Anolis sagrei: one gene and its partners. The protein of the gene in region 4 interacts with the protein of the main gene of each other region in a pairwise test. Links are inferred from orthologs where the notes say so. Each region holds a gene or a part of one and is shown on either strand. Other genes may lie near its edges.

What was found.
Region 1: the proteins of FXR2 (region 4) and FTH1 interact in binary tests that used the Homo sapiens proteins (3 or more experiments, as listed by UniProt). The link is inferred for Anolis sagrei from reciprocal best matches to the Homo sapiens genes FXR2 and FTH1.
Region 2: the proteins of FXR2 (region 4) and multifunctional protein ADE2 interact in binary tests that used the Homo sapiens proteins (3 or more experiments, as listed by UniProt). The link is inferred for Anolis sagrei from reciprocal best matches to the Homo sapiens genes FXR2 and PAICS.
Region 3: the proteins of FXR2 (region 4) and PSME3 interact in a two-hybrid assay, tested with the Homo sapiens proteins (2 studies listed by BioGRID and IntAct). The link is inferred for Anolis sagrei from reciprocal best matches to the Homo sapiens genes FXR2 and PSME3.

Annotation. Positions count from the first base shown.
Region 1 is NC_090021.1:237,529,836-237,538,093, forward strand, and holds the start of FTH1 (ferritin heavy chain), read right to left. Parts: upstream 3,215-8,258; 5' UTR 3,050-3,214; coding exon 2,939-3,049; intron 1-2,938. UniProt on the Homo sapiens protein: Stores iron in a soluble, non-toxic, readily available form. Important for iron homeostasis. Has ferroxidase activity. Iron is taken up in the ferrous form and deposited as ferric hydroxides after oxidation. Also plays a role in delivery of iron to cells.
Region 2 is NC_090025.1:73,076,945-73,084,399, forward strand, and holds the start of multifunctional protein ADE2, read right to left. Parts: upstream 3,429-7,455; 5' UTR 3,261-3,428; coding exon 3,239-3,260; intron 1-3,238. Other genes in the region: PPAT (amidophosphoribosyltransferase), read left to right, coding at 5,658-5,785. UniProt on the Homo sapiens protein: Bifunctional phosphoribosylaminoimidazole carboxylase and phosphoribosylaminoimidazole succinocarboxamide synthetase catalyzing two reactions of the de novo purine biosynthetic pathway.
Region 3 is NC_090026.1:50,212,957-50,220,565, forward strand, and holds the start of PSME3 (proteasome activator complex subunit 3), read right to left. Parts: upstream 3,147-7,609; 5' UTR 2,939-3,146; coding exon 2,897-2,938; intron 1-2,896. UniProt on the Homo sapiens protein: Subunit of the 11S REG-gamma (also called PA28-gamma) proteasome regulator, a doughnut-shaped homoheptamer which associates with the proteasome. 11S REG-gamma activates the trypsin-like catalytic subunit of the proteasome but inhibits the chymotrypsin-like and postglutamyl-preferring (PGPH) subunits.
Region 4 is NC_090026.1:3,122,687-3,130,422, reverse strand, and holds the start of FXR2 (RNA-binding protein FXR2), read right to left. Parts: upstream 3,195-7,736; 5' UTR 2,943-3,194; coding exon 2,892-2,942; intron 1-2,891. UniProt on the Homo sapiens protein: mRNA-binding protein that acts as a regulator of mRNAs translation and/or stability, and which is required for adult hippocampal neurogenesis. Specifically binds to AU-rich elements (AREs) in the 3'-UTR of target mRNAs.

The DNA of each region.
Region 1 (8,258 bases), on a different chromosome or scaffold from region 4:
ACAACAAGCCTGTCAAACTGGCTGTGTTAGGTCTTGCTATGATCTTTTTCTAATGCAAAATACAGAACTATGACTTTGGAAAAGAGGACAAACTGATAGATTTGAACTAAGAACAACCCGTGCCACAAATGGTAAGGAATGATTACTGCTGCAGTCCAAAGATATCTGGAACTTTCAACTTTGCCCAGTGCTCCTTTAGATGAACCAAAGTTACAAGTCTAATTGTCATTTTTTCTTTTGGTAGATCCCCTAGAAAGTAAGTTCTGAAAATCACTTCAGAACAGGGAGAACAAGGTAACTTGCTTTGCCTCTAAGGTGAGAGTTTGCCCTTTAAACAGAAAAAGGGGATTTAATAATTCTAAGAGCTCAGCAAGTTAGGGTAGTCAATACTGATATTTTTGGCTTGGAAAGAAATTGCCAACAGTCAAGCGATCAAACATTTCTGAATACTCATTTTAAGTATCAAATTGTTACATTACTTCGATGAGTTTTTGAACCTCTAATCCAGGCACAGGGAAATTTCAGTCCTCCATGTGTTTTGGACTTCAACTCCCACAATTCCTAACAGCCAGTAAACTGGTTGGGATTTCTGGGAGTTGAAGTCTAAAACACCTGGAGGGCCAAAGTTTTCCATCCCTGCTCTAATCAGTCTTGCTACCTCTGTGAAATGTACAGTTTAGGCCACAAAAACAGGTTGAAGAGAGCTGGAGAAGCACATTCCATTTTAGAAACCATCTGCCAGACAAACGGTTTTGAGATAAGTGTATGTTATATCACTTACAATTCCCCTTGACTATTAGTCATAAATTGAAATCTGTATTCCAGTGAATGTTACATCACAAAGAACTCCAGAGCAACAAGAGCTGGACTACCCCTTGACAGCCAGTGTCAATAAATTCATTTTTAAAGCTACTGAGTTCCAAGTACTGCATTTAATCATATGTGAGTCTAGAAAATTTATTCAGAAGTCAACCCAAAAAAAAAATCTGGGTCACCATCCATGAGTCAAAGTATTATACTTTAAAGCTTTATCAAAAGCAAGAAATGGAAACATCCTCTTTTCTGAATAGAGTGGAAAAGGGCATTTATTTGTCTATCCTGGGAAAACCTAAAGGAACTATTGATCCCCTCTATTCTCTCAGCCATAGTATAATTTAGGGCCTTTTTGAAGGGAAAATGGGGGCCGCAGTTGGCCAGGAACGTCTAGCCCTGCTGGCATTTTCCTCTCTCCACATATGGTCAACTAATTTATGAGTATATGTGGATTCGATCAGTAAGCTCTTCCAGTGTTTGGAAAAATACATTTTAACATACATCTGCCAAAATATGTTTGCCACATTTATGCTGATAGGTTTACAACCACACACCATATAAGTTAACAGTAACTTGGGGAAATGGCTTTAGCTGTGTTCAAAACAACCAAGCTATATGAAAGCTATATGAGTCGCCCTAGGGCTGAGAACGGCGGTCAACAAATGCAACAAATGCAAACAAATGTTCCAGAGAAAAGGTCCAAAGTCAATTAAAGTACAATCACTCTTTATTGGAGAGATAAGAACTGGGGCTTCTGCAAACAAACAGGCGCCGGCAAATGGCAAACAGGAGCCAATATCAATTCTTATCAAGGTCCCCACCACAAAAGTGTAAACACTCTCCCTCCCCATGCTTTAGTAAAGGTAAAAGTTTCACCTGACATTAAGTCTAGTCATGGCCGACCCCGCAGGGGGAGGGGGGGGAATGCTCATCTCCATTTCTAAGCTGAAGAGCTGGTGTTGTTCATAGAAACCTCCAAGGTCATGTGGCCAGCATGAGTGCATGGAGTGCCATTACCTTCCAACAGAAGCGGTATCTATCGTTCTACTCATTTGCATGTTTTCAAACTGCTAGGTTGGCAGAAGCTGGGCCTAACAGCTGGACCTCAACCCGCTCCCCCAATTCAAACCGCCAACCTTTTGGTCAGCAAGTTCAGCTCAGCAGTTCAACTGCTGTGCCACCAGGGGGCCCTCCCCACTCTTCAGTTACCTCAAAACAGTCCAGTGGAATAAAAAGACTCAACAGCAAGCAGTGTGCCAGTGGCGCAGTTATCTTGCAATACTCGAGAAGTAAGCAAGCTCATCACAAGACAGTTCCTCTTTGCATTGCAGCATTTGGCCACAAAAAAGCAACCAGGAAAAATCTCTGGAGAGAGCAGCTGGATTGTGGCTGCCTAACCCATCCTAATGGGAGAGGGGAAACTGATTGCAAGGCAGGGTTCTTCCATAAGGTGCATCTGACCTGTACAATAAATGCTGTTCAACATTACTTTAATTGCCATGGCTCAATGATATGGGATCCCGGGAGAGATAGTTTGGTGAGACAAATTTCCCTTTGCCAGAGAAGGCTAAGAACCCTTGGGAAACTACAAATCCCAGGATTCCATAGCACAAGGTATGGTAATTAAAAGCGGCGGTAAACTGCATTAATTTCACATTGTAGGTGTACTTTATTCTCTTCCAAACACTCTGCAGGTTGGCTATTAAGACCCTCGACATACTATTATCTCAGGAGAACTTCAAGGATGTGAATGGGGGGAATCCACAGCTAGACTAAGCCCTATCTACACTGACCATTTAACGCGCACAAAATAATGCGAAAGAACGCTCTTAATGCGTATCAGTGGTTTGTGTCATCCCCATCCGGGCCTCAAAGGCAGTAGAAGGCGAGATTTCTTTGGGAGCCGTGGCTGTTTACTCCCATCCCTCCTGGAGAGGACGGGGCGAAGTCCAGGAGGGAAGGCGCCTCCCAAGGGCACGCCAGGCGCATGCGCGGCACCCGAGGAAGAGGCGGCAGGACCTTGGCCCTCCAGCGCTCCATTGCGCGCGCTCTCCCGCTCTCTCTCTCTCGAGGCCTGCCCACCGCACGCGCACACGCACGCGCCCCTCTCCTTCCCAGGGCTCACCATGCTGAGGTACACGTAGGAAGCGTAAAGCTCCAGGTTGATCTGCCGGTTGATGGCGGCTTCGCAGTCCTGGTGGTAGTTCTGGCGCACCTGGGAAGGAGACGAGGCCATGGCAGCACAAAGGCGAGCGGATGGATCGATTGATGGATATAGATAGATAAAGGAAGGCAGCGAGCGGGCGGCGGCCGAGCGGGAGTGGGTTCCGTCCAATCACTGTTGAAGCGGGAACCTCCTCAGCTAGGTCGCGCAGAGCGTTCTGGCCCGGCCACCTTGACGTCGTCTCTATATATAGCCCCGAGCTGCGTCACAATCCGAGATTAAGGGAAGCCACGCCCTCCGCTCGGTGGGAGGGAGGGGGGAGAAATGGAGGCTCGCTAAGGGACGGGCGCGAGGCTCTCCTTGAGGATCTCGCGCTCTTCGCTCCCTGCCTCCCTCCCTCCCTCGCCCCGCCCGCGCGCACACTCGTACACACATCCCGGCACGCGCCTCCAGAGTAAGCATGACTCAGCAGGTTTTGCGCCTTGTTGATTCCTGCGAGGCTTCGTCGGAAGAAGTTGATTTGGAGGAAGAGCGCTTCAGACATGCCTTAAATGTTCCTCTAGAGCAGGCATGTTTTGGACTTCAACTCCCACAATTCCTAACAGCCACTGTTAGGAATTGTGGAAGTTGAAGTTCAAAATACCTGGAAGGCCCAAGTTTGCCCATGCCTGCTCTAGGATGTGTCTACACCAGGCGTGGGCAAACTTGGGCCCTCCAGGTGTTTTGGACTCCAAGTCCCACAACTTGGACTTGGAGTCCAAAACACCTGGAGGGCCCAAGTTTGCCCATGCCTGATCTACACTGTCAAATTAATGCAGTTTGGTACCACTTTTAACTGCCATGTCCCAATACTATGGAATCCTGGGATTTAGTGAGGCACCAAGCGCTCTTTGGCAGGAAAAGCCAAAGACTGTGTTAAACAACACCTCTCATGACTCCATCGCCTTGAGCCATGATAGTTAAAGCGGTGTCAAACTGCATTATTTCTATAGTGTAGATGCATCCTGAGACAGCAACACCTTTGCTTCCTGATGGTTCCATGTTTGCAAACTTTGTTTCCAGCACAGCATTCTTTGTGAGGCATATAGAACAGAAACGCGAGGCACTTAAACAATAAATGAATTTAATTTAATATATATATATATATATACACACACACACACACATATATTCCCTCTCTTCTTCACCTCCCCTACCCTCTCACTCCCACCCCTCCTCCCTCCACCCACTCCACATTTTTCCTGAAATAATATTATAAGTTATTTAATCAAGTAAAAATGAATTTCAGATTTAGACTTGAATGCAATCTCCATGAATATGTATATTCAGATATTCCAAAATCCAAAACACTTCTGATGCCAAGCATTTTAGAGGAGGGATTCGCAACCTGTACAGAGAAGAAAGACATGTTCTGCAAAATGGACCACCAATGTGGAACATTTTTGACTTTCAGGATTGTAATGGCGCTCCATGCAGTCATGCTGGCCTCATGACCTTGGAGTTGTCTACGGACAGTGCCAGCTCTTCAGCTTAGAAATGGAGATCAGCACCACCCCCCAGAGTTGGACACAACTAGACTTAATGTCAGAGGAAACCTTTACCTTTACTTTATGTTAATGTTCTTATAAATTGGTTCTCAAATCACTTTTGATTGAGTGACGCTGTCCAATTATGAAACTGATGAAAACGCTGTCCAATTATATTGCCACTGATGAAAACTTCTGCACAATGCAACACCTAAAGGCACAATAACATTACTTCAGAAGTCAGTGTGTTAGGTAACTACAGATGATGTGAGTGATAAATTCCTGCTCAGAGGCTGGAAATATACTGACATAAAGTTGCCTCCTGTTTTAGCAAACCCAGCAAAATCCAGTCTTCCCAAAAGTGTGTGGCAGTGTGCTGGTGGCAGTCCACATTTCGCTTACTTCATCCTGCTTTGTGTGGATTTGTTTATTCGTTTAGTGACCACTGGAAGCACAAGAAAAGATGTGTTTTTGTACATCTGGATCAAAAGTGTTTTTTTATTACCTCAAAAATATGTTATTCTGTTTTGATATTTATTCACAAAAGAAGAGTGACACAAATACAAGGGAATGTAACATTTCCTTTATAGCAGGCATGAGCAAACTTGAGCCCTTCAGGTGTTTTGGACTCCAACTCCCACCATTGCTAACAGCCTCAGGCCCTTTCTTTTTCCCCCTCAGCCATTTAAGCGGCTGAGGGGGGAAAGGAAGGGGCCTGAGGCTATTAGGAATGGCGGAAGTTAGAGTCCAAAACACCTGGAGGGCCCAAGTTGGCCCAGGCCTGCTTTATAGTATTGTTTTTCAGTTCTGGGCTCCACTGAACCATTGAGCTCCCAGGAGCATCCTGAATGGATTTCTGAAAATGCTTCCACCATTTTCCGATCATGCTCTGTAATGATAAGGAGTAATATACAGTATTAGCTATTACAGGTTGCGCACACTTTATTTGGGATTCCAAATTCCCAAATTCTCCCAAATCTGAATTTGTCCACAGAGATGGGCTGAGATAGTGACACCTTTGCTTTCTAACGGTTCAGCATACATGCACTTTGTTTCATGAGCAAAGCTATTAAAAATATCTATCTACTGTATATATGAAAGTCAACATGTGGATGTTTGTCTGTTTGTACCACAAAGGCCATTGCTAGGTGAAGTGGCCCTCTGTGATATCACTGGATTGGCTGAGTTAGGTGGCTCTCATGGATGTCACTGGGAAAGAAAGGTAACGTGTATGAAGGGTCTGTTGCTCAGTGATAATTCAGTGGCTCTTTGTTATGTCACTGGGAAAGAAAGGTGACATATATGAGGGGCAGCGAGGAAGAAAGGAAGGAGCCATAAAGACAGCTGTGTCGCCACTGGAGCATTGTGAGGTAGGCTGGAGAAGGAGAACCAAAGGGAGGAGAGAGAGAGAGAGAGAGAGGAGAAGGGGGGAGGGAGGGAGAAGAAAGGAAAAGGAGGGAAGGAAGGAAGCGAAAGAAAAGTGGGAAAGTTATGAGAGGAGGGAAAGGAATGAAAGCAAGGGGGCACCAGCTCCTCCTACACCTGGGCAACAGTGGCTATGTACGCTAATGTATGTGTATAAAATTACCTTTGGGTATAAGATATATATAAAATGTATATTCTTTCTTTAAGATGATATGTGCAAATGATGATATGTGCAAATACATGTCTGTCACCCCCCCCCCCAAAAAAATCCAAAACATTTCTGGTTCCATGCATTTGGAATAAGGGATACTCAATCTGTACTACAAATGTCCTTCTTTGAATTTTACAACTATTGATTAAATTGCTTGTTACTACATTTTACTTTGTAGCAGGGAAAGGAGTTTATGGGTTTTGCAGGTTAGATAATCACGGAGCAGAATTTGGCAACACGCACAAAAAAGGATTAAAAACCTGTTTATAGGATTGCAATGTAGTGTGCTGCTCGATAGGAGGACTGTAAACAGTGGCATACACAGCCCTAATTGTCTGTATTGTAGGCAGCAAGCCAGAATGAACAAGCTGCATCTGTGAGGTCCAGTTACACACTCTGCCCAAGAATTTCAATATATATGTATGTTTCCAAATACATATATATACATTTGCTTAAGGGTGCCAGAAAGTATGTTTTCCAGAGAGGCATACTATGCAACTGGGCATCTCTTTCTATCCTTCCTGACATTTTCAAAGTTTCAAAATCTCACACTCACATAGTTGTGAAATGGAAGTTCCCAAGTGAGAAATCCTTTTTTGTCAGGCAAATGTGACAAGATTGACAGGAAAGCTACATATGTTATGTTCATCACATAACAAAAAACTAACACATAGCTGTATTGCTCTGGAATACTAATAGTCCAGATTAATGTGTTGTTGAAAGCTTTCATGATCTCAAACAACAGGGGAATTTCTGACATGAAACAATCAGGGCCAGCTAACACCTCCCAACAAAGGATCCCCAGGCAGCAACCAGCCAGGTTTTGAAGCTGCAAGGCTATTAAATGCTAATAAATATGGTCAATTGCAACATTCACACTTGCCTCAAGCAGACAAGAGTTCTTTCTCCCATCCTGGACATTTCACAGACATATATACCTCACTTGCCTAGTTTCCAGCAGACCTCTGAGGATGCCTGCCATAGATGTGGGCGAAACATCAGGAGAGAATGCTTCTGGAACCTGGCCATACAGCCTGGAAAACTCACAGCAACCCAATCCAGATTAACACAGCTATGTCTTTGTTTTCTACTGTGCCTTGTAACCTGTTTGGAAGGTAAACTGTTGTACCTGAACTCTTTCAGAAGCAGCAATTCTCCTCTTTTGGCCTGAAAAACGCTATTCCAAAAGACTCAAAAACATTGTTAGGCATTGCAAGTGCTCTGAGGTCCATTTTTCACCCCCAGCAACCTCTGTATCACATGATGTACGTGAAAGCTTCTGGGCTAGACTCCATAGAGTGGGACAGGATCTTGCACCCAAGTCTGTGCCAGGTTGTCAGAACATAATTGTTTCTTTTATTGTATTTGTTATCAAAAACGGCATGAGATTTTTTTGCCTGAGTTAATTACCAACATAATTTCTCAAGTACTACCATCTTAATTTGGAATGAACATTGTTTGCTTCAGATAAGGAAATGCCTTGGGCTCATCCTGATCTCCTCGTACTTGAAGGAACTCTAACATATAGAGACCTCTCCTTGTATGTGCCAGATGTGCAGATTAGATGTGGACGGTGCTAGCATGTGCATTGGCAGCAGGAGGCTGGTGCTATTCGACACAACCCTCTCTCATCTTCTATGTTTGAAGGGAATTGTGTGAACACCTCTAAGGATGCACCTACAGTGTAGATTTAGTGCAGTTTGATATCACTCAGTGCTATGGAATCGTGGGAGTTGTAATGTTAAAAGGTCTTAATCCTTCTCTGACAAAATGTGCTGGCGCCTTCCAACTACAAATTCCATGATTACATGAAGCCATGCCAGTTAAAGTAGTGTCAAATTGCATTAATTCTACAGTGTAGATACACATTTAGAAGGAAAGTTAACAAGATGGTAGGATAAGAAAGCAGGGAGGCATTGCTGAGAAAGGCAGGAGAAGCTTTTTGGGATCAGAAACAGAATGCCACCAATTGTTGTAGTTGAAGGCTTTTTTTTTTGTCCCACCAACATACAAACTTATAAGGAGAACACAGGAAGAGCCTTCTTGTTGGCTGCTCCCATACTGTGGAACTCTCTCCCATAGGAGGCCCACTTTGTGATTTCATCTTGATGGCAAGCAA
Region 2 (7,455 bases), on a different chromosome or scaffold from region 4:
TAGAATGAAGTGATGGTCTTCTTCAGAAGATATGCATGGCAAGTATGCTGTCAAAGGTTAAGATAAAGGTTTTCCCCTGACATTAAGTCCAGTCGTGTCTGACTCTGGGGGTTGGTTTTCATCTCCATTTCTAAGCCGAAGAACCGGCATTGTCCATAGACACCTCCAAGGTCATGTGGCTAGCATGACTGCACGGTGCACTGTTACCACCCCACCTATTGATCTACTCATATTTGCATGTTTTCGAACTGCTAGTTTGGCAGAAGTTGGGGCTGACACTGGGAGCTCCCACCGCTCCCCAGATTTGAACCTGCGACCTTTCAGTTAACAAGTTCAGCAGCACAGCGCTTTAACCCACTGACGTCAAACTGCTTGTCAATTTATGGAAAAACCATTAATTTCATAGGTTTGTTTTTTTTTTTTTACATAGAGTTGGCTGTATTGGATCCTTCCTCTGTACCTGGCATTATTTGCAGTCTATATTTCATCAGAATGTTTGTGTGTGTGTGAAGGGGACTGGTACAGCTTTAAATCATAACTCCTTGATTCTCAACATCCCCATTAGCATGGTCACTGGCCATCTTGGCTAAGGGATTTTGGGATGTGTGCTTCAAAACAGTATCTTCTCCAAACTTGGGGAAGACATGGGGAAAAAATTATTAATTTTTTTCTTGTAGGAACTCAAAAAGATTACAGACAACATCAAAACCGTTATAGCCTCATGGCTTTGTAGAGCCTGTTACTTTGTATCATCAGAATTTTCCACCATCCAGTTCTGCAAGTCACCTTATGACAAGTCCATAGGGTTTTCCTTAGGCAAGGAATCCCCAGAGGTGGTTTAACAGTCCCTTCCTTTGAAATATAGCCTTCAGAACCTGGCATTTGTTGGTGGGCTCCCAGCCAAGTCCTTACTAGGGCTGATCCTACTTAGCTTCCAACATCTGAGCTTAATAAAGACAGTTCATGTAATTTGCTTGGATATATTGTAAGACTAAACCCTATCAGGAAATTGAGCCTGCAAAGAAATTTCATGTAACAACACCTTGGCAAACCCGAATTATAGAATCATTCTGTTAAGGTTTAGATAGGTTCGGTCTACTTTCTGAAATCAGCCTGGGAAAGAGCACATCTAGATGGCTGAGGTCTTGAACAGGCTTGGTCTTCCAGGTGTTTTGGACATCAGTTCCCAGAATTCCTTTGCATCCACTGAGTCATCAGAAAGCAGAGATGTCACTGTGTTGTCAAAGGCTTTCATAGCCAGAATCACTGGGTTGCTGTGAGTTTTTGGGCTGTATGGCCATGTTACAGTAGTATTCTCTCCTGACATTTCACCTGCATCTATGGCAGGCATCCTTCTGTTTCTGAGAGGTGTCCCTTTCTTACTGCCTTGATTCTGATGTTTTTAAATACCCGTAATCAGTTTTAAGGTAAAGGTTTTCCCCTGACATGAAGTCCAGTCGTGTCCAACTCTGGGGTGTGGTGCTCATCTCTATTTCTAAGCCGAAGAGCCAACGTTGTCCATAGACACCTCCAAGGTCATGTGACCTGAATGACTGCATGGAGTGCCTTTACCTTCCCACCAGAGCAGTACCTATTGATCTACTCACATTTGCATGTTTTCGAACTGCTAGGTTGGCAGAAGCTGGGGCTGACAGCGGAAGCTCACGCTGCTCCCCGGATTTGAACCAGCGACCTTTCGGTCAACAAGCTCAGCAGCTCAGCACTTTAATCTACTGTGCCACCAGGGTCCAACCGGTATTACCAATCTGGAATTCCAGACAGCCAACAATCAAGTGTCAGTTAACACCTCCAAAGCAAAGGATGTCCCCAGGCAGCAACAGCCAGACTTTGCAGCTGCAAAGCTACTCACCAGCTAATCAAGGTGGCCAATTGCAAAATTCACACTTGCATCAAACAGACAAGAGTTCTTTCTCCCACCCTGGACATTCTACACACACCCCACTTGCCTCATTCCCACAGACCTTCGAACAAATCTCTGAGGATGCTTGCCACAGATACAGGTGAAATGTCAGGAGAGAATGCTACTGGAGCATGGCCATACAGCCTGAAACACTCACAGCATTCCAGAGGTGTCGCTATTTCAGGCTGTTTCAAAATGATGTTTAAGGGTCCTTCCACACAGCCATTTAACCCAGAATATCAAGGCAGAGAATTCACAATATCTGCTTTGATGTAGATTATCTGAGTCCACATGGCCATATAACCCAGTTCAATGTGGCTTTTATAGAGCTGTGTGGAAAGGGCCGAAGAAAAGTGGTTTCACTGGGCAGGTGATCACCTGGAACCAGTTTGAGATTCAGACGCTATTTACACAAACCACTGATGTACATTAGAATCATAGAATTGGAAGAGACCTCATGGGCCATCCAGTCCAAGCCCATTCAGCCAAGAATCTGGAGAATTGCATTCAAAGCACCCCCCTTTTTTTTTTGGTCATGTCAGGAGCAACCTGAGAAACTGCAAGTCGCTTCTGGTGTGAGAGAATTGGCCGTCAGCAAGGACGTTGCCCAGGGGGCGCCCGGATGATTTTTAATGTATTATGATCCTTGTGGGAGGCTTCTTTCACATCCTCGCATGAGGAGCTGGAGCTGGTAGAGGGAGCTCATCCGCCTCTCCCCGGATTCGAACCTGCGAACTATTGTCTTCAGTCCTGCTGGCACAGGGGTTTAACCCACTGTGCCACCGAGGGCACCCTCTACCTGTCTGCACCCCTGTCAGATAGCCATCCAGCCTCTGTTTAAAAGCTACCAAAGAAGGAGCCTCCATCACTCTGCCGCAGAGAGTTCCACTGCTGAACAGCTCTCACAGTCAGGAAGTTCTTCCTAATGTTCAGATGGAATCTCCTTTCTTGTAGTTTGAAGCCATTAAGATCTTTCTTTTATGCACTTTTGTGGGTGTTTGTTGCCTAAAGGCCACACTCTGAAACTAACTTTGAACTGCGTTAAATAGACAGTGCAGACAGGGTCTCAGCCATCCATTTTGGATTTTGCAGCATCTTAGGTTTAGGAAACCTGGGGAAAGTATACTCACCAAAGCAGAGGAGGCTTCTGGGAGCTGGAGTCCCAAACACCTGGAGGACTCAGCATGTGGCCTCCAACTCCCAGAAGCCCTAGCCAGCTTGCCCAATAGTCAGGAATTCTAGGGGTTAAAAGACTCCTTTGTTGTGGGGCATTCAGGAGGCCTTCTTTGGGGGGAGGACAAGAAGGCACTCACTCACCTGTAGGGCGGATGGGAGCCATGGCTGCTGCAGCAGGAGCCCGAGGCGCCTAGGAGTCAAAGGCAAAGAGAAGTTAGCACAAGAGGAAGAAGGAGAAGAGGAAGGAGGAGGAGAAGGAGGAAAAGTTTGCTCGCGAGAGCCGTCCGCGGAGGAGCAAGTCCGAGGAGGAGAGAGAGGGCGCGCGCTGGCGGGGCGGCGTAAGAAGGGCGGGCGGCGGAAGGGGGCGGCCAATGAGGGGCGGGGAGCGCGCCCCGAACGCGCCAATGGCAGCCCCGCAAACAGGGCTTGCGCCACAGAATACACACACTCAATGGCGCGCGCACACGCCCCCTCGCAGCCCAATTTCCCCCAAGCATTCCCTCCAATCTGAGGCCAGTTCTGGCGGACACCCCTCGCCCGCCTCTTTCCCGCCCCAAAGCCCCGCGGGCCATGGCGAAGTTGCACTCTCAACAACTCCCGCTTCTATTCCAGCGCCCCCAAGTCCTCGCAAACTTCACCCTTTCTCCCTCTTCCTTACCCCCTCCCTTTCTTCTCTCCTTCCCTTTCACCCCTCCTTCTCTCTCTTTCCCCTCCCTATTTTTCCTCCGACTTTCCCCACTCCTTCCCTCCTTTTCCCTTTTTACTTTCCCTCCCTCCTTTTTTGTCTTTCCCCCCTCTTTCCCCTTCTCCTTCGCTCCTTTACCTTCTTCCTTTTCTGTCTTTTCCCTCTCCTTCCCTCCTCCCTTTTCCTCATCCCCTTTCTCTCTTTCCCTCCCTCCTTCTCTTTCCCCTTTCTTCTTTCCTTCCTTTTCCTCTCTTCCCTTCCCTTCATTTTCCTTGTCTTCTTTCACTCCCTTCTGCCTTTAACTCTTCTTTCCCCCTCTCCTTCCTTTCTTCTCCCTCATTCTCTTTTCCCTTCCCTCCTCTTCCCCTCTCTTCTTCCCCTCTTTCTGTCTTCCCTTCCCTTCATTTTCCCTGTCTTCTGTCTCTCCCTTCTGCCTTTAATTCTTCTTTCCCCCTCTTTACTTCCTTCTCCCTCAATCTCTCTTCCCTTCCCTCCTCTTTCCCTGTCTTTTCCTTCTCTTTCCCCCTCTACTTCCTCTCTTTTCCTCCTTTTCCTTTCTCTCCCCCTTTCTCTCCCTTCTTTCCCTCCTTCCTTGTGTCTTTCCACATCTTTCTCCTTCGCTCCTTTCCCTTTCTTCTTTCCCTTCTTCCTTTTCTGTCTTTTTCCTCTCCTTCCCTCCTCCCTTTTCCTCTTCCCCTTTTCTCTCTTCCCCTCCTTCCTTGTGTCTTTCTTCCCCTTTCACCCTCTCCTTCGCTCCTCTCTCTTTCCCTTCTTTCCCTCTCTTCTTTCCCACTTTCTCGCTTCCCTTCCCTTCATTTTCCTGTCTCCTTTTCCTCCCTTCTGCCTTTAATTCTTCTTTCCCCCTCTCTTTCCCTCCTTTTCCTTTCTTTCCCCCTTTCTCTCCTTTCTTTCCCTCCTTGTGTCTTTCCTCATCTTTCACCTTCTCCTTTGCCCATATTTCCTCTCTTCTTTCCTCTCCTTTCTCTCTTCCCTTCTCTTTATTTTCCCAGTCTTCTTTTCCTCCTCTTTCCCCCTTTTTCTTTCTTCCCCTCCCTGCTCTTTCTCTCATTTTCCCTGTCATCTTTCCTCTCGTTCTCTTTCCCCCTTTCCTCCCTCTTTTTCTCTCCTTTTCCTTTCTTTCCCCCTTTCTCTCTCTTCCCTTCTCCCTTTCTCTTGCTTATTTCCTCCCTCCTTCTGTCTTAGCCCTCATTCCCTCTCCTTCCCTCCCTCCCCTCTTTCCCCGTTTCCTTTCTTCTTTCCTCCTCTTTCCCCTCTCCTTCCTTCTTTCATGTCTTCTCCTCCCTCATTCCCCCTCCTTCCCTCTCCCTATTTCCTTTCTTCTTTCCCCTCTCCTTCCTTCCTTCTTTTACCGTCCCTTCCCTCCCTCCTCTCTCTTTCCCCCTCCCTCTATTTCTCTCTTTTTCCAGGAAGGATTCCCTCAGGAAGCAAAAGTAAACAACTCTTCTTTCTTATCCCCAATCAAAGTCAGAGAGGGAAAATCAAGTTTCAGCTCGGAAAAGCAGGAAATACCAAGGGAACCCTAAAAGAGGGGAGGCGGGGACTGGGGAGGGGCGACTTCCTCACAGGAGGGGGGGGGGCTAACTTTTTTGTTGCCATGAGACCAAATCACACATACACACGAGGGAGGTGATGGAGTCCTAAAGCAGAAAAAAGGGGCAGGACTCTCAACTTAGGAGCAGCCGCGAGACTAGTGCGCGCCCTCTCTCTATGCAAATCAGGCCTGTATGCAAATGAGGCGCCGAGGGGCGGGAAAAAAGGAGCAGGCTCGGTCCTCGCCCACAAGCCCAAGCGGCCACAAGCGCCGCGCCAGGAGCGACAACAACAGGGGCGGCCGCGACACGTGTGCGACGCACCATGGAGTTTGAGGAGCTGGGCATCGGGGAGGAGTGCGGGGTCTTCGGATGCCTCGCCGCCGGGGTCTGGCCCACCGAGCTGGACGTGCCGCATGTGATCACGCTGGGGCTGGTGGGGCTGCAGCACAGGTAAGGGAAGGGGCTTTGGGGGGCCACACATAAGGGGGCTCTGCAGGGAAAGGTCTGATCTCCAGTGCTGGAGCCTTGGAGGCAACCAGTTGTGGCTGTGAGTCTTCCTAAAGCTTGCATCTACAGCCAGGCATGGGCAAACTTCGGCCCTCCTCCAGGTGTTTTGGACTTCAACTCCCACAATTCCTAACAGCCGGTAGGCTGTTAGGAATTGTGGGAGTTGAAGTCCAAAACACCTGGAGGAGGGCCGAAGTTTGCCCATGCCTGGCTGTAGATGCATCTTGATTCTTCTCATTGTCCCACAGTATTGAGCATTAGCAGTTACACTACTTTTTGCTAGTGTTTTGCCACTGTTTTTGCCCTCATACTTACTGAGGGCCCTTCCACACAGCCCTAAATCCCAGAATATAAAGGCAGGAAATCCCACATTATCTGATAACCCAGTTCAAAGCAGATATTGTGGGATTTCCTGCCTTGATATTCAGGGATATAGGGCTTTGTGGAAGGGCCCTGGTTGATAAATCTGATGTCTTGCAGGTAAATTTGCTCCGAACACCCCAACTTTTCCACATGTTTTATTACACAGGGCCTTCACCGATTCCGGTCAAAGTTTGTGTTTTCACCAAACAGTGATTGCATTGAATTTGCTCAGCATCGAAGGCCCCTTCCACACAGCTGTGTAAAATCCCACATTATCTGCTTTGAAATGAGTTATATGGCATTGTGGACCCAGATATTTATTTATTTATGTATTTAAAGCATTTATATTCCGCCCTTCTCAGGGCAGAGCACAGCACATACACGGCAAACATTCAATGCCGGGACACAAATTCACATACAATACATAAACATAAAAAAATACATTAAAATACATCATTTAAAACTGTCCTAGCCATCCGCATCAAATCCAATTGGCCCTGTTATCTTTTCCACTGCCGCTTCATTGCCCTGTCCTGAAAGCTTGGTCCCACAGTCAAGTTTTTACCATCCTTCTAAAGGACAGGAGGATGGGGGTGACCCTCCATAGCAGGGGAGCAATCACCAAGAAGACCCTGTTTCTCGTCCCCACCAATTGTGCCTGTGACAGTGGCGGGACAGAAAGCAGGGCCTCCTCAGAAGATCTTAATCTCCATGATGGTTCATAGGGGAAGATGTGTTCGGACAGGTAATTTGGGCCGGGGCCGTTTAGGGCTTTATAGGCCAAAGCCAGCACTATGAATTGTGCCCGGTAGCAAACTGGCAGCCAGTGGAGGTGGCATAACATGCGAGTTGTGTGCTCCCTGTATGCCACCCTAGTTATTAACCTGGCTGCCTCTTCTTGGACTATTTGAAGCTTCCAAGCAGTCTTCAAAGGCAACCCCACATAGACTGCATTGCAGTAGTCTATCCTAGAGGTAATGAGAGCGTGGACCACCGTGGCCAAGTCTGACTTCCCAAGGTACGGGCGCAGCTGGCGCACAAGATAACTCGGGGCTCTTCCACACAGCTATATAACCAAGGCAGAATAACCCACAATATCTGCTTTGAACTTGAATATCTGAGGGCACTTCCACACAGCCCTGTATCCCAGAATATCAAGGCAGAAATAATAATATAAGGAGACCCCGGTGGCGCATTGGGTTAAACCACTGAACTGCTAAGCTTGTTGACTGAAAGGTCGCAGGTTCAAA
Region 3 (7,609 bases), about 47 Mb from region 4:
CCATAACCTTGAATCATGGCAATTAAAGTGGTGTCATACTGCATCAATTCTACAGTTTAGAAACACTCCTCTACCTGCACCCGGGAACACAACAATAGGAAAACCTTGAGGTAAAATCTGCCCCCTTAATTCAAACAGTAAGGCCCCTTCTACACTGCCATATAAAATCCAGATTATATGCTTTGAACTGGATTGGATGGCAGTGTAGACTCATATGATCTGGCCATGGTGGTCCACGCCTTAGTCACCTCCAGATTGGTTTACTGCAATGCACTCTACGTGGGGCTGCCCTTGAAGACAGCTCGGAAATTTTGACTGGTCCAACGGGCAGCAGCCAGATTACTAACTGGAGAGACTTACAGGGAGCGGTCAACCCCCTGTTTTAAGGAGCTCCATTGGCTGCCATTCACGTTCCCAGTCCCAATTCAAGGAGCATGTTCTCACCTACAAAGCCCTGAACGGTTTGGGACCCGCCTACCTGCGTGACCGCATTTGTTTACGAACCCATGCGATCTCTTCGATCATCTGGAGAGGCCATGCTCTCGCTTCCACCCTCTTCACAGTTGTGACTGGTGGAGATGAGGGAGAGGGCCTTCTCTATGGTGCCCCCCCCCCCCCGACTCTGGAACTCACTTTCCAAGGATATCAGACAAGCCCCTACACTGGCAGTCTTTAGGAGGAGCTTGAAAAAGTGGCTGTTCCAGTGTGCCTTCCCTGACTAAAGGAAACAATGCCCTGATCTAACTAATTTTCTGCAATATGTCCTCTGAAGCACTTTATCTACCTGTTGGATTGATCTCATCTGGAGAGGCCCTGCTCTCGCTCCCACCCCCTTCGCAGGTACGACTGGTGGGGATGAGGGAGAGGGCCTTCTCTATGGTGGCCCCCTGACTCTGGAAGTCGCTTTCCAAGGATATCAGACAAGCCCCTACATTGGCAGTCCTTAGAGCAGTGTTTCTCAACCTGGAGGTTGGGACCCCTGGAGGGGTCGTGAGGAGGTGTCAGAGGGGTCACCAAAGAACATCAGAAAACACAGTATTTTCTGTTGGTCATGGGGTTTCTGTGTGGGAAATTTGGCCCAATTCTGTCATTGGTGGGGTTCAGAATGCTCTCTGATTATAGGTGAACTATACATCCCAGTAACTACAACTCACAAGTGTCAATGTTTCTCTTCCCCAAACTCCACCAGTGTCCACATTTGGGCATATTAAGTATCTGTGTCAAGTTTGGTCCAGATCCATCATTGTTTGAGTCCACAGTGCTCTCTGGATGGAGATGAACCACAACTCCCAAACTCAAGGTCAATGCCCACCAAAACCTCCAGCATTTTCTGTTGGTCATGGGAGTGCTGTGTGCCAAGTTTGGTTCAATTCCACCATTGGTGGAGTTCAGAAGGCTCTTTGATTGTAGGTGAACTATAAATCCCAGCAACTACAACTCCCAAATGACAAAATCAATCCCCCCCCCCCAACCTCACCAGTATTCAAACTTGGGTGTACTGAGTATTTGTGCCAAATTGGTTCCAGTAAATGAAAATACATCAGATATTTGCATTACAACTGATATCTGTCGCAAAAAGGCAGTTATGAAGTAGCAATGAAAATGATTTGATAGTTGGGGGTCACCCCAACATGAGGAACTCTATTAAGGGGTCGTGGCAATAGAAAGGTTGAGAGCCAGTGCTTTAGGAGGAGCTTGAAAAAGTGGCTGTTCTAGTGTGCCTTCCCTGAATAAAGGAAATAATGCCCTGATCTAACTAATTTTCTGCAATATGTCCTCTGAAGCACTTTAACTATCCGTTGGATTGATCTCCCTACATTATCCTCTAAATCCCCCGTTTAGACATACCCTCATTCTATTCACGTCCAGTGTTGTAAAATGTTTAATCCACTGTGTTTTTAAATTTGTGTGTTACTGCTTATATGTTATTTATAATATTTGTATTGTGTTTTACTTGCTTGTTTGCTTTGTTGTTTTTACTGATGTATTTTGGTTGGGCTTGGCCTCATGTAAGCTGCCCCGAGTCCCCTTGGGGAGATGGTGGTGGGGTATAAATAATGTATTATTATTATTATTATGGAGCCCTCGGTGGCGCAGTAGGTTAATCCCCTGTGCTGGCAGGACTGAAGACCAACAGGTCGCAGGTTCGAATCCGGAGAGAGGTGGGTGAGCTCCCTCTATAAGCTCCAGCTCCTCATTCGGGGACATGAGAGAAGCCTCCCACAAAGATGGTAAAAACATCAAATCATCCGGGCGTCCCCTGGGCAACGTCCTTGCAGAAGGCCAATTCTCTCACACCAGAAGCGTCTTAATAGTTTCTCAAGTCGCTCCTGACACGACAAAAAATTATTATTATTATATGAACCAGTTTAAAGCAGATAATGTGGATTATCTGCTTTGATAATCTGGGTTATATGGCAGTGTAGAAGGGACCAGAGAAGGCCTTGTTAAACTACAACTCCATAGCATTGAGGCAGGAGAGTTAAAGTGGTGTCAAACTGCATTCACTCTGCAGTGCAGATGCACCAAAAGAGCATCATAATAATATCCCTAAACCACAGTTCATCAGATCAAAAGGGATTCCACAGGCTGCTCAGCGAGAGGAACTATTAGCTCAGGGCCCTTCCACACAACTATATATATATCCCAGAATATCTGCTTTGAAGTGGATTATCTGAGTCCACACTGCCACATATCCCAGTTCAAAGCAGATAAAAGTAGGGTTTTATTCAACTGTGCAGAAGGTGCCTCAGCTCCATGCAGCATCCAACTCGTCCTGGCCCTATTCGTCAGCCGCAGCCTGGCTGGGGAACGCCCAGCCGCCTCCCGGCGCTCTGCACATGCTTAAGGACACGGCCCGCCCGTGGCGGAAGCGGCTCTTCCCTTTCTCTCGTACCTTGATCTTCACTTCCGGGTCCACCTTGAGGAGGGAGGCCATGGCGGGGCGGGGGAGCCGGTTTCCCGAACCAGAGCCGTCTCTTGCTGTCCCGCGCGCGCGCGACCACCCAAGGAAACCACCGGCTTCGCCACTGCCGGATGTGACGGCATAACCTCCCCCCTCCCCCTCCTTCTTAGCCACCCCGCCTGGACCAATCACCGAACGCCTAGCCGGCCAACGTGATTCGCACGATGCCTTTTGTCGTCCGCCCCTCTTCCTTTAGAAGGCGCGTGCGCTGAAGGGGCAGCCAAGCCACTTCCGATTGTGTGGGCGGGGCCTCTGGAGAAACGAAGCCGGAGCACATAGAAACAGAAAGGAAAGACTGAAACATTGTTTGCGAGTTTCCGATACCATTTGGCATGTGGTTGGTGTCTGAAGGTGACTCTGAAGGATCTATAAAGTATCTCCAACGATTTTTGTCCCTGGGTTATAAATGTCATTTCCTAATTGGTTCTATCATAAAAATATGGAAATAGTTTATTAAACTGTCAAAATTTTGTTTTTGTCGGACATCCTGCAGCACATCTTGTAGTTTTTCAATGAATGTCTCATAGAGTTTCAACCAATTCAACAAAGGCCCTGTCCAAACAGCTTAATAATAATAATAATAATAATAATAATGGGTTGTTGTAGGTTTTTTCGGACTATATGGCCATGATCTGGAGGCATTTTGTCCTGACGTTTCGCCTGCATCTATGGCAAGCATCCTCAGAGGTAGTGAGGTCTGTTGGAACTAGGAAATGGGTTTATATATCTGTGGAATGACCAGGGTGGGACAAAGGAGTCTTGTCTGCTGGAGCTAGGTGTGAATGTTTCAACTGACCACCTTGATTAGCCTTTCCAGAATAGGAAAACTCCAATAACAAGTCCCAGAAACACTTTATTAGAATTAAGATTGCTGCACACTGCACTTACCCTATAATCCTTACATATCACCTGTCACACCAGCACTTTTTAATTCTGTACCCATTACTCTGGCCCGGCCCAGTTTTATTGTGTCTTGGTGTATTCTTTATTGCTTGTTGTTTAATATTGCTTTAATTGTTTTTAAATTGCTTAGGTTTTGTATTGTTATGTTGTGTTTTGAGGCCTTGGCCTTTGTAAACCGCTTCGAGTCCTTCGGGAGATGCTAGCAAGGTACAAATAAAGTTAATAATAATAATAATAATAATAATGGGCAGACAGTGCCTGGAGCAAACTTTTGTTGAGAGGTGATTATATGTCCTTGTTTGTTTCCTCTCTGTTGTTGTGCTGTTGCAATTTTAGAGTTTTTTTAAATATTGGTAGCCAGATTTTGTTCATTTTCATGGTTTCCTCCTTTCTGTTGAAATTGTCCACATGCTTGTGGATTTCAATGGCTTCTCTGTGTAGTCTGACATGGTGGTTGTTGGAGTGATCCAGCATTTCTGTGTTCTCAAATAAAATGCTGTGTCCAGGTTGGTTCATCAGGTGCTCTGCTATGGCTGAATTCTCAGGTTGGAGTAGTCTTCAGTGCCTTTCATATTCCTTGATTCGTGTTTGGGGAATGCTGCGTTTGGTGGTCCCTATGTAGACTTGTCCACAGCTGCATGGTACACAGAAACATCAGGAGATAATGCTTCTAGAGGAGGGGTCCTCAAACTTTTTAAACAGAGGGTCAGGTCACAGTCCCTCAAACTGTTGGAGGGTCAGATTATAATTTGAAAAAAGCATGAATGAATTCCTATGCACACTGCACATATCTTATTTGTAGTGCAAAAAACGCTTAAAACAATACAAGAATTGAAATGAAGAACAATTTTAACATACATAAACTTATTAGTATTTCAGTGGGAAGTGTGGGCCTGCTTTTGGCTGATTAGATAGGATTGTTGTTGTTGTTGTTGTTGTTGTTGTGTGCTTTCAAACGTTTCAGACTTAGGTTGACCCTGAGCGAGGGCCGGGTAAATGACTTTGGAGCGGTGAGGGAGGAAGGGGGCACCCGCCTAGGCAGCCAGATCAGCCAAATCAATCCTGGCGATCAATGGGGTGACAGATGTCGCAGCCAGATTGCCCTCACATCAACTTAGGTTGACCCTGAGCAAGGGCCAGGTAAATGACCTTGGAGGGCTGCATCCGGCCCTTGGGCCTTAGTTTGAGGACCCCTGCTCTAGACCATGGCTATATAACCCAAAAAAAAATAATAATCTACAACAACCCAGTGATTCCGGCCATGAAAGCCTTCAACAATACAATAATAATAATATAAACTTTATTTATACCCCGCCATCATCTCCCCAAGGGACTTGGAGCAGCTTACATGAGGCCAAGCTCAACAACACATCAATAAAAACAAAAAGCAATAAACAAAAAACAATAAGTACAATACAATTAATATAATAAATCTATATAAATAAAAATGTGATGTTTGTTTGTGGGATTAACAGAACTCAAAACCCACTGGGGGACTTGACACCAAATTTGGACACAAGACACCTAACAACCCAATGTATGTCCTTCACTCAAAAAATTGATTTTGTCATTTGGGAGTTGTAGTTGCTGGGATTTATAGTTCACTTACAATCAAAGAGCATTCTGAATCCCACCAACGATGGAATTGAACAAAAATTGGCACACAGAACTCCCATGACCGACAGAAAATACAGGAAGGGTTTGGTGGGTATTGACCTTGAGTTTGGGAGTTGTAGTTCATCTACATCCAGAGATCACTGTAGACTCAAACAATGATGGATCTGGACCAAACACTATACAAAGACTAAATATGCCCAAATGTGAACACCGGTGGGGTTTGGAGAAAATATAATCTTGACATTTGGAAGTTGTAGTTGCTGGGATTTATAGTTCACCTACCATCAGAGCATTGTGAACCCCACCAACGATAGAATTGTGCCAAACCTCCCACACAGAACCCCATGTGGGCCACAGCAATGTGTGGCAGGGGACGGCTAGTCACATATAAACAATAACCAATAAACAGTAACACACAAGGATTTAAAAACCTGTGGCCGGGCCAAATGTAATAGTTTAAAAATTTAAAAAATAAATGCTGGGCATGAACGAGGGAGGATATATTGGGTTCTAAAAGAGATGAGGGAGCGCAGTCAATCCTAAACCAGTAGTAAAGTGCATTCTGAGGACATATTGCTGGGAATTTTCTTTTCTGGGAAGGCACACTGGAACAGCCACGTTTTCAGGCTCCTCCTAAAGACTGCCAATGATGGGGCATGCCTGATGTCCTTGGGAAGTGAGTTCCAGAGTCGGGGGGCCACCACCGAGAAGGCCCTCTCCCTCGTCCCCACCAATCGCGCCTGCGAAGGGGGCAGGAGCAAGTGCAGGGCCTCTCCAGATGATTGAAGAGATCGTATGGGTTCATATACAGAAATGCGGTCATGGAAGTAGGCGGGTCCCAAACCGTTCAGGGCTTTGTAGGTAAGAACTTGCACCTTGAATTGGGACCAGAAAATAAATTATCTGCTTTGAGCTGGAATATATGGCGCTTCCAGGCGGGCCCTATATCCCAGGATCTGATGCCAGGTTTTCTGCTTTAAACTGGATTATGTCAGTCCGCACTGCCAGATAATCTGGGAGGGGTCTTCAAACTAAGGTCTGAGGGCCGGATATGGCTCTCCAAGGTAATTTACCCGGCCCTCGCTCAGGGTCATCCTAAAGCTGAACTGACTTGAAAGCACACAGCAATAATACTAACAATCCTATCTCATCAGCCAAAAGCGGGCCCACACTTCCCATTGAAATACTAATAAGTTTATATTTGTTACAATTGTTCTTCATTTTAATTATTGTATTTTTAAAGTATTTTTTGCGCTAAAAATAAGATATGTGCAGTGTGCATGGGAATTCATTCATGCTTTTTTCAAATTATAATCCGGCCCTCCAACAGTTTGAGGGACTGTGACCTGGCCCTCGGTTTTAAAAGTTTGAAGACCCCTGATCTGGGATAAAGGAAAACACTGCGAACACCAAGCACAAAGTAGTTACACACAGTACATCCTGCAGAAACTTATATCATCCCTGGCTCTGTCTTATTCAGCTGCCCTGTTTGGCACAACTCTGTCAACGCGAAGCAGGTGAATATAGCACTGAACAAAACATGTAGAATAATCACAGGGTGTCGTAAACCTACACCTGCTGATAGACTCTATAACAGTGTTTCTCAACCTTCCTAATGCCACAATGCCTTCATACAGTTCCTCATGTTGTGGTGACCCCCAGCCACAACATTATTTTCGTTGCTACTTCATAACTATAATTTTGCTCATTTTACGAATCGTAATGTAATACCTGATATGCAGGATGTATTTTCATTCACTGGACCAAATTTGGCACAAATACCCAATATGCCCAAATTTGAATACTGGTGGGGTTGGGGGGGGGGGTTGATTTTGTCATTTGGGAGTTGTAGTTGCTGGGATGTTAGTTCACCTCTTAGAGACCCTAAATTGGGTCTTCTTAGGTCCACATCACGGGAGCACGAAAGGAAGGAGACAGTCCCAAAAAAAGATCAAAGAACAAGGTTTTATTTTAGTTTCTTCATGAAGAAGACGGACAGCCTGACAGCATACGCAGTGACTGCCGCCTCTCCTTGGGTTTTTACCACCAATATATAACCTCAAGTAAATAAGAACATTTTTTGTCATGGAAAGTACTCTCTTTCCAGCCCCCTCCCTTGACCTT
Region 4 (7,736 bases):
TCTGTTGCATCGGACAAATGCTGGGCAGGCTTCAATATTCCACTTTAGGGCATGGTCTGGCCAGTTTCTGAATGTTACAGATCATTTAAGTCAGGGGTCCTCAAACTTTTAAAGCAGAGGACCAGGTCACAGTCCTTCAAACTGTTGGAGGGCCGGATTATAATTTGAAAAAAAAAAGTAATTTGAATTCCTATGCACACTGCACATATCTTATTTGTAGTGCAAAAATCATTTTAAAACAATACAATAATTAAAATGAAGAACAATTTTAACAAATATAATCTTATTAGTATTTCAATGCGAAGTGTGGGCCTGCTTTTGGCTGATGAGATAGGATAGTTGTTGTTGCGTGCTTTCAAGTCAAATCAAATCATTTATTTCGGTCACTGACTAGCACAGGAAATAAGAGTCACATTTTCATACAAACTTGGTATGTTTGGTACATTAAAAATATAAATATAACTACTGAAGCACAATATGGGTGAGGGAGCGGAAAAGAAGGGGAAACAGGGTAAAAACATGCAATGCCCAGATCCATCACCAAATTGTAGATTCAAAGAAGAAGATTACTGGACACACAGTTAACATTTGGGACTAACGTCCTTGCAGACGGCCAATTCTCTCACAACAGGACACTCCTGACACGACCAAAAAAAAAAAATCCCTGATGGATTTTGTATGCTTTGCAACATTGTAGGTTGTAGCTGAATTAATATCTGCAAGTAGCATGGAGGTATAAAATTGTCCTGAACGGCGTGGGTGCTTGTATAACAGAGGTAAGATAAGTCTGGCATGGATATCCTTGTAGAACGGGCACTTTCAAGTCGTTTCAGACTTAGGTTGACCCTGGGTGAGGGCCGGGTAAATTACCTTGGGGGGCCATATCCAGGCCCCCGGGCCATAGTTTGAGGATGCCTGATTTAAGCCAATGGGATTTTGGCCTGCATTAATAGGAGCATGGTGTCTAGGTCCAGGGAAGTCATGCTACCCCTCTATTCTGCTCTGGTTAGACCACACCTGGAATATTGTCTCCAATTCTGGGCACCACAATTCAAGAGAGATATTGACAAGCTGGAATGTGTCCAGAGGAGGGCGACTAAAATGATCAAGGGTCTGGAGAACAAGCCCTATGAGGAGCGGCTTAAGGAGCTGGGCACGTTTAGCCTGAAGAAGAGAAGGCTGAGAGGAGACATGATAGCCATGTATAAATATTTGAGAGGAAGCCACAGGGAGGAGGGAGCAAGCTTGTTTTCTGCTTCCCTGGAGACTAGGACGCAGAACAATGGCTTCAAACTACAAGAGAGGAGATTCCATCTGAACATGAGGAAGAACTTCCTGACTGTGAGAGCCGTTCAGCAGTGGAACTCTCTGCCCCGGAGTGTGGTGGAAGCTCCTTCCTTGGAAGCTTTTAAACAGAGGCTGGATGGCCATCTGTCAGGGGTGATTTGAATGCAATATTCCTGCTTCTTGGCAGAATGGGGTTGGACTGGATGGCCCAGGAGGTCTCTTCCAACTCTTTGATTTTATGATTCTATAGGTAAACTTTGGAACTTCTAGGTGTTTTGAACTTCAACTCCTATAATTCCGAACAGCCTTTGACTTCAACTCCCATAATTCAGCCTATTGGCTGTAAGGAATTGTGGGAGTTGAAGTCCAAAACACCCTGGCCATCTTCCAACTTAAAAGTCCGTCTCTTTGAATTGTTTTGCCCAGAACGGTGTTATCCCAAGCAAAAGAGTGGGATTGCTAGGCCTTGTTCTCTTGTTTCCTCTTAATCAGGCATGGGCAAACTTGGGGCCTCCCTCCAAGTGTTTTGGGACTTCAACTCCCACAATTCCTGGCTTCAGGCCCCTTCCTTTTCCCAAAACACCTGGAGGGAGGCCAGGGAGAAAAGGAAAGGGCCTGAGGCCAGGAATTGTGGGAGTTGAAGTCCCAAAACATCTGGAGGGAGGCCAGAGGGGAAAGGAAAGGGCCTGAGGATAGAAATTGTGGGAGTTGAAGTCCCAAAACACCTGAAGGGAGGCCAGGGGGAAAAGGAAAGGGTTTGAGGCCAGGAATGGTGGGAGTTGAAGTCCCAAAACACCTGGAGGGAGGCCAGGGGGGAAAGGAAAGGGTTTGAGGCCAAGAATTGTGGGAATTGAAGTCCCAAAACACCTGGAGGGAGGCCAGGGGGAAAGGAAAGGGTTTGAGGCCAGGAATGGTGGGAGTTGAAGTCCCAAAACACCTGGAGGGAGGCCAGGGGGAAAAGGAAAGGGCCTGAGGCCAGGAATTGTGGGAGTTGAAGTCCCAAAACACCTGGAGGGAGGCCAGGGGGGAAAGGAAAGGGTTTGAGGCCAGGATTTGTGGGAGTTGAAGTCCCAAAACACCTGGAGGGAGGCCAGGGGGAAAGGAAAGGGTTTGAGGCCAGGAATGGTGGGAGTTGAAGTCCCAAAACACCTGGAGGGAGGCCAGGGGGGAAAGGAAAGGGTTTGAGGCCAGGAATGGTGGGAGTTGAAGTCCCAAAACACCTGGAGTGAGGCCAGGGGGAAAAGGAAAGGGTTTGAGGCCAGGAATTGTGGGGGTTGAAGTCACAAAACACCTGGAGGGTGGGCCCAAATTTGCCCATGCCTCCTTTGATGCAATCTATAGCTTGATTCCCATTCAGCTTGAGGCCTACAAAGCCTTCGAGGTCCCTTTCTTCCCCAACAAGCCTCCCTGCCTCCTTTGAACTCCTCAGAGGTATGTTTGTGACCTTTCCACCCAAAGCCCTGGACTCCAACTCCCAGAATCCTCGAGGGGCCTAGGCCTCCTGGGAGTTGGAGAGAGTTGGGAGGCTAGGCCGCATCTCCATGGCAACCGCGGGGGCCCCGCCCATGCCCCGTCTCCTTGGCAACGCTCTGCGGCCTACTCACCTTATAGAAGGCCCCGTTGGAGCCGCGCACTTCCACGGAGAGGCCCTCCATGGGGCCCGAAGGCGACGCCGGGGAGGAAGAGGCCGCCAAGGGGGAAGGCGGGGGGATTGGGGCCGGAGGGCGAGGCCCGGCTTCCTCCCCCGGGTCCGCCACCGTGACCGGTGCCTTCAGGCCGGAGCCTCCCCCACTCTGGCCTGCCGCCTCCCTTCCCTCGCCTCCGCCAGCCGGAGAGTCCGTCCTCCCCTCACAGAGCCAGCTTGAGAATGCGCATGCATGGCCCCGCCCCTCCGTCCGCGCATGCGTCGAGCCGGAAGACGCTTGCCTTCTTTTTCCCCCTTCAGGCCACGCCTACTCCATTCGGCCCCGCCCCCTTTCTCGTCAGCGTGAGCCAATGAGAGGCAGTCATTCCGCGAAGGAGGCGGGGCTTAGCCTTGTTTCAGCTCCTCCCACTCCCTTGTTTCTTCTCATACAACCAATAGGGAAGCCGTCCTCCAACATGTCAATCATAGGAAATGTGAGCCAATGAGAGGCGCTCATTCTGCCAAGGAAGTGGGGCTTAGCCTTATTTCAGCTCCTCCCACTCCCTTGTTTCTTCTCATACAACCAATAGGGACGCCGTCCTCCAACATGTCAATCATAGGAAATGTGAGCCAATGAGAGACGCTCATTCCGCCAAGGAGGCGGGGCTTAGCCTTGTTTCAGCTCCTCCCACTCCCTTGTTTCTCCTCACGTACCCATACAACCAATAGGGACGCCGTCCTCCAACATGTCAATCATCAAAGAGGCGGGGCTTACCCTTTCTTAGACTCCTCCCACTCCCTTGTTTCTCTTCACGCCTCCTCTTTCTCCCCCGCTAACAACCAATAGAGAAGCCTTCCTCCAACATGTCAATCATAGTTCTCTCTAGGAAATGTGAGCCAATAAGAGGCGCTCATTCCGCCAAGGAGGCGGGGCTTAGCCTTATTTCAGCTCCTCCCATTCCCTTGTTTCTCCTCACGCACGCATACAACCAATAGGGACGCCGTCCTCCAACATGTCAATCATAGGAAATATAAACCAACGAGAGGCGCTCATTCCGCCAAGGAGGCGGGGCTTAGCCTTATTTCAGCTCCTCCCACTCCCTTGTTTCTTCTCACGTACCCATACAACCAATAGGAACGCCGGCCTCCAAAGTGTCAATCACAGTTCTCTCTAGGAAATGTGAGCCAATGAGAGGCACTGATTCCGCCAAGGAGGCGGGGCTTACCCTTATTTCAGCTCCTCCCACTCCCTTGTTTCTCCTCACGCACGCAAAGAACCAATAGGGAAGCCGTCCTCCAACATGTCAATCATCAAAGAGGCGGGGCTTGCCATAATTTCAGCTCCTCCCACTCCCTTGTTTCTCCTCACGTACCCATACAACCAATAGGGACGCCGTCCTCCAGCATGTCAATCATGGTTCTCTCTAGGAAATGTGAGCCAATGGGAGGCGCTCATTCCGCCAAAGAGGCGGGGCTTTCCCTTATTTAGGCTCCTCCCACTCCCTTGTTTCTCCTCACGCCCTCTCTCTCTCCCCCGCTAACAACCAATAGAGATGCCTTCCCCCATCATGTCAATCACAGTTCTTTCTAGGCGATGTGAGCCAATGAGAGGCACTGAATCTGCCAAAGAGGCGGGGCTTGCCCTTATTTAGGCTCCTCCCACTCCCTTGTTTCTCCTCACGCCCTCTCTCTCTCCAACGCTAACAACCAATAGAGATGCCTTCCCCCATCATGTCAATCACAGGTCTTTCTAGGCGATGTGAGCCAATGAGAGGCACTGAATCTGCCAAAGAGGCGGGGCTTGCCCTTATTTAGGCTCCTCCCACTCCCTTGTGTCTCCTCCCCTTCTCTCTCCCCCGCTAACAACCAATAGGAACGCCTTCTTCCAACATGCCAATCATAGTCGAGGTTTTTTTTTTTTTTACCCCCACCCCGCTCTTAAAGGCGCAGGCGCAGAAGGGGGACCGACCAATGGTGAAAGTACTCCTGGCTCCTTTGCAACCAATCCTGACTCGACTTCTTTCAGCCCCTCCCATAGGGCTTCTGGACGCCCCGCCCTCTTTTTTTCCATCCTCAAAGGGTCGTAATTTTGGAGGAGCCCCGCCCCCGTCATTGAAAGCACTAATGGCATGAAAAGCCCCGCCCACAAATCGGGCCTTGCTCGGTCTTGATTGGCCAGTCGGTCTGAATTGCTAAGGCGGTTATTTATGAGGAGAAACAAGTGGCCTCCCCTGAGGATTGGGGGCGGGGCCAGGATTCCTCTGGTTGTGACCCCGCCTACTTTATTGAATGGACCAATCAAAGACGCCAGCCCGCCTCTCCTTGCTTCACTTTCCCTTATTATCCGCCAAAAGGGGGCGGGGCTTCTTCCTTTAGAGTTGCGGGTTCGAGTCCCGCCTGGGCTGAATTTGAATTCTAAATTTAATAGAACCCAAATTTAATAGAAGCAAAAAAATAGGGTGTTTTGGTACCCACTTCCTTCTTATGTTTATTTATTTATTTAAAAACACACATAATTTATTTACAATTAGAATCAAAATGTCTATTTCTCATGAGAGGACATCTGCACCTCAGTTTTATGCCACATTAACCTATGGGATTTGTATATCTGGAACTCCAGCACCAGAAACACCAACTTCTTCATAAAACTATAATTCCCAGGATTCCACAGAAATGTGGGGCCATGACAGTTAAAGGTGTTGAAGGAGGCTTCAAGGGTCTCTGAGTGAAATTAAGTAAGGGGCTTTGAATGAAATTAAGAGAGACAAACCCTTCTCTGTAGAAAAATAGCAGTATGGAATAAAATGTTTTTAAGAAACAAGATGTGATAGGATGCGTTGTGGTTAACTTCAAAGGTTGTTTTTGAAGCGCAGAGGCCGCATGTATAAGTAGGTACTTTCCATCAAAAGGTCAAGAGAGGGGGCTGGAAAGAGACTACTTTCCATGACAAAAAATTGTTCTTGTTTACTTGAGGTTATATATTTGGTGGTCAAAAGCCAAGGGGGACGGCAGTCACTTGAAGGGTAACATTTGCGCATGTTGCCTGGCTGTCCGTCTTCTTCATGAAGAAATCAAAAATAAAACCTTGGTTTTTTTTTATCTTTCATTGGGAATGTCTCCTTCCTTTCATGCTCCCGCGACGTGGACCTAAGAAGACCCAATTTAGGGTCTCTAACTGTCACAAAACTGGTACAACTGTGCAGTGCAGATACATCCATTCTCACTCCTGTTTTCTTTCAGAGTGTTCAGGCTGAACATCAACATTTAGTGCATTCTAATTGACTTTCATTTTGGAACACAAGAAGCATTTGACGAGGACTCAACACACAGAGAAACCATTTTAAAAGGCTCTCAAATTAAAAGACAACAAGAAGCAGAATTGTGGGAAAGACCGAAGTTGTGCTTTGTTTGATACTAAAAAATACCAGCTATGGCCTTTCGTAAATGGTTCAAATTTCCTCAGACGGTTTGACATCAAGATGGATGACTGAGGGAGACAAAATGGCTGCCAGTTGGCTGTTCCATGTCAAAGACGGCTCATTATTACCCTGCAATAATTAAACGACAACAGAATTGTGGAAAAGACCGAAGTTGTGCTTCGTTTGATACTAAAAAATACCAGCTATGGCCTTTTGTAAATGGTTCAAATTCCCTCAGACGGTTTGACATCAAGATGGATGACTGAGGGAGACAAAATGGCCGCCAGTTGGATGTTCCATGTCAAAGACGGCTCATATTTACCTCGCAATAATTAAACGACAACAGAATTGTGGAAAAGACCGAAGTTGTGCTTCGTTTGATACTAAAAAATACCAGCTATGGCCTTTCGTAAATGGTTCAAGTTCCCTCAGGCTGTTTGACATCAAGATGGCTGACTGAGGGAGACAAAATGGCCACTGGTTGGCTGCACCATGTCAAAGACGGCTCATTATTACCTCTCATTTCGCTACCAATAAGCCATCATGTCTAGAATCTTTATTCTGGGTGAAATCAAGAGGCAGTGGGGGGATTCTTTCTTTTAAAAATATTAGTTTTGGGCCATTTCATAAACAGTCCAGTTCCCCTCAGGAAGTGTGAAATCAAGATGGCTGACAGAAGGAGACAAAATGGCCACCATTACCTCATATTAAGTCACTATTACCTCGTATTAAGTCACTATGAAGACATTTTTTGTCATTATTTTGGCTGAATCCAAGAGCAAATTCTTGTGATTTTAAAACATATATATTAGTTATGATCATTTCATAAACGGCCCAGTTCCTTTCAGGCAATTTGACATCAAGTTGGCTGACTGAGGTAGACAAAATGGCCGCCGGTTGACTGTGCCATGACAGAGGCGGCTCATTATAACCTCATAGTAAAGGTAAAAGTTGTCCCCTGAAATTAAGTCCAGTTGTGTCTGACTCTGGGACTGTGGTGCTCATCTCTATTTCTAAGCCAAAGAGCCAGCGTTGTCCGTAGACACCTCCAAGGTCATGCGGCCAGTCTAACTGCATGGAGCGCCTCACATTAAACAACAATTAAGCCGTTTTCATGTAATTATTTTGGCTGAAACCAAGAGCAAATTCTTGTGATTAATGACCACTTCACAAATGGCCCAGTTCCCTTCATACAGTTTGACGTCAAGATGGCTGAGTGAGGAAGACAAAATGGCCACTGGTTGACTTCACCATGATAGAAAAGGATCATTATTACCTCATATTAAGCCACAATTGAGTCATTTTCATGTAATTATTTTGGCTGAAACCAAGAGTAAATTCTTGTGAATATATATATATATATATAATGACCACTTCATAAATGGCCCAGTTCCCTTCACACAGTT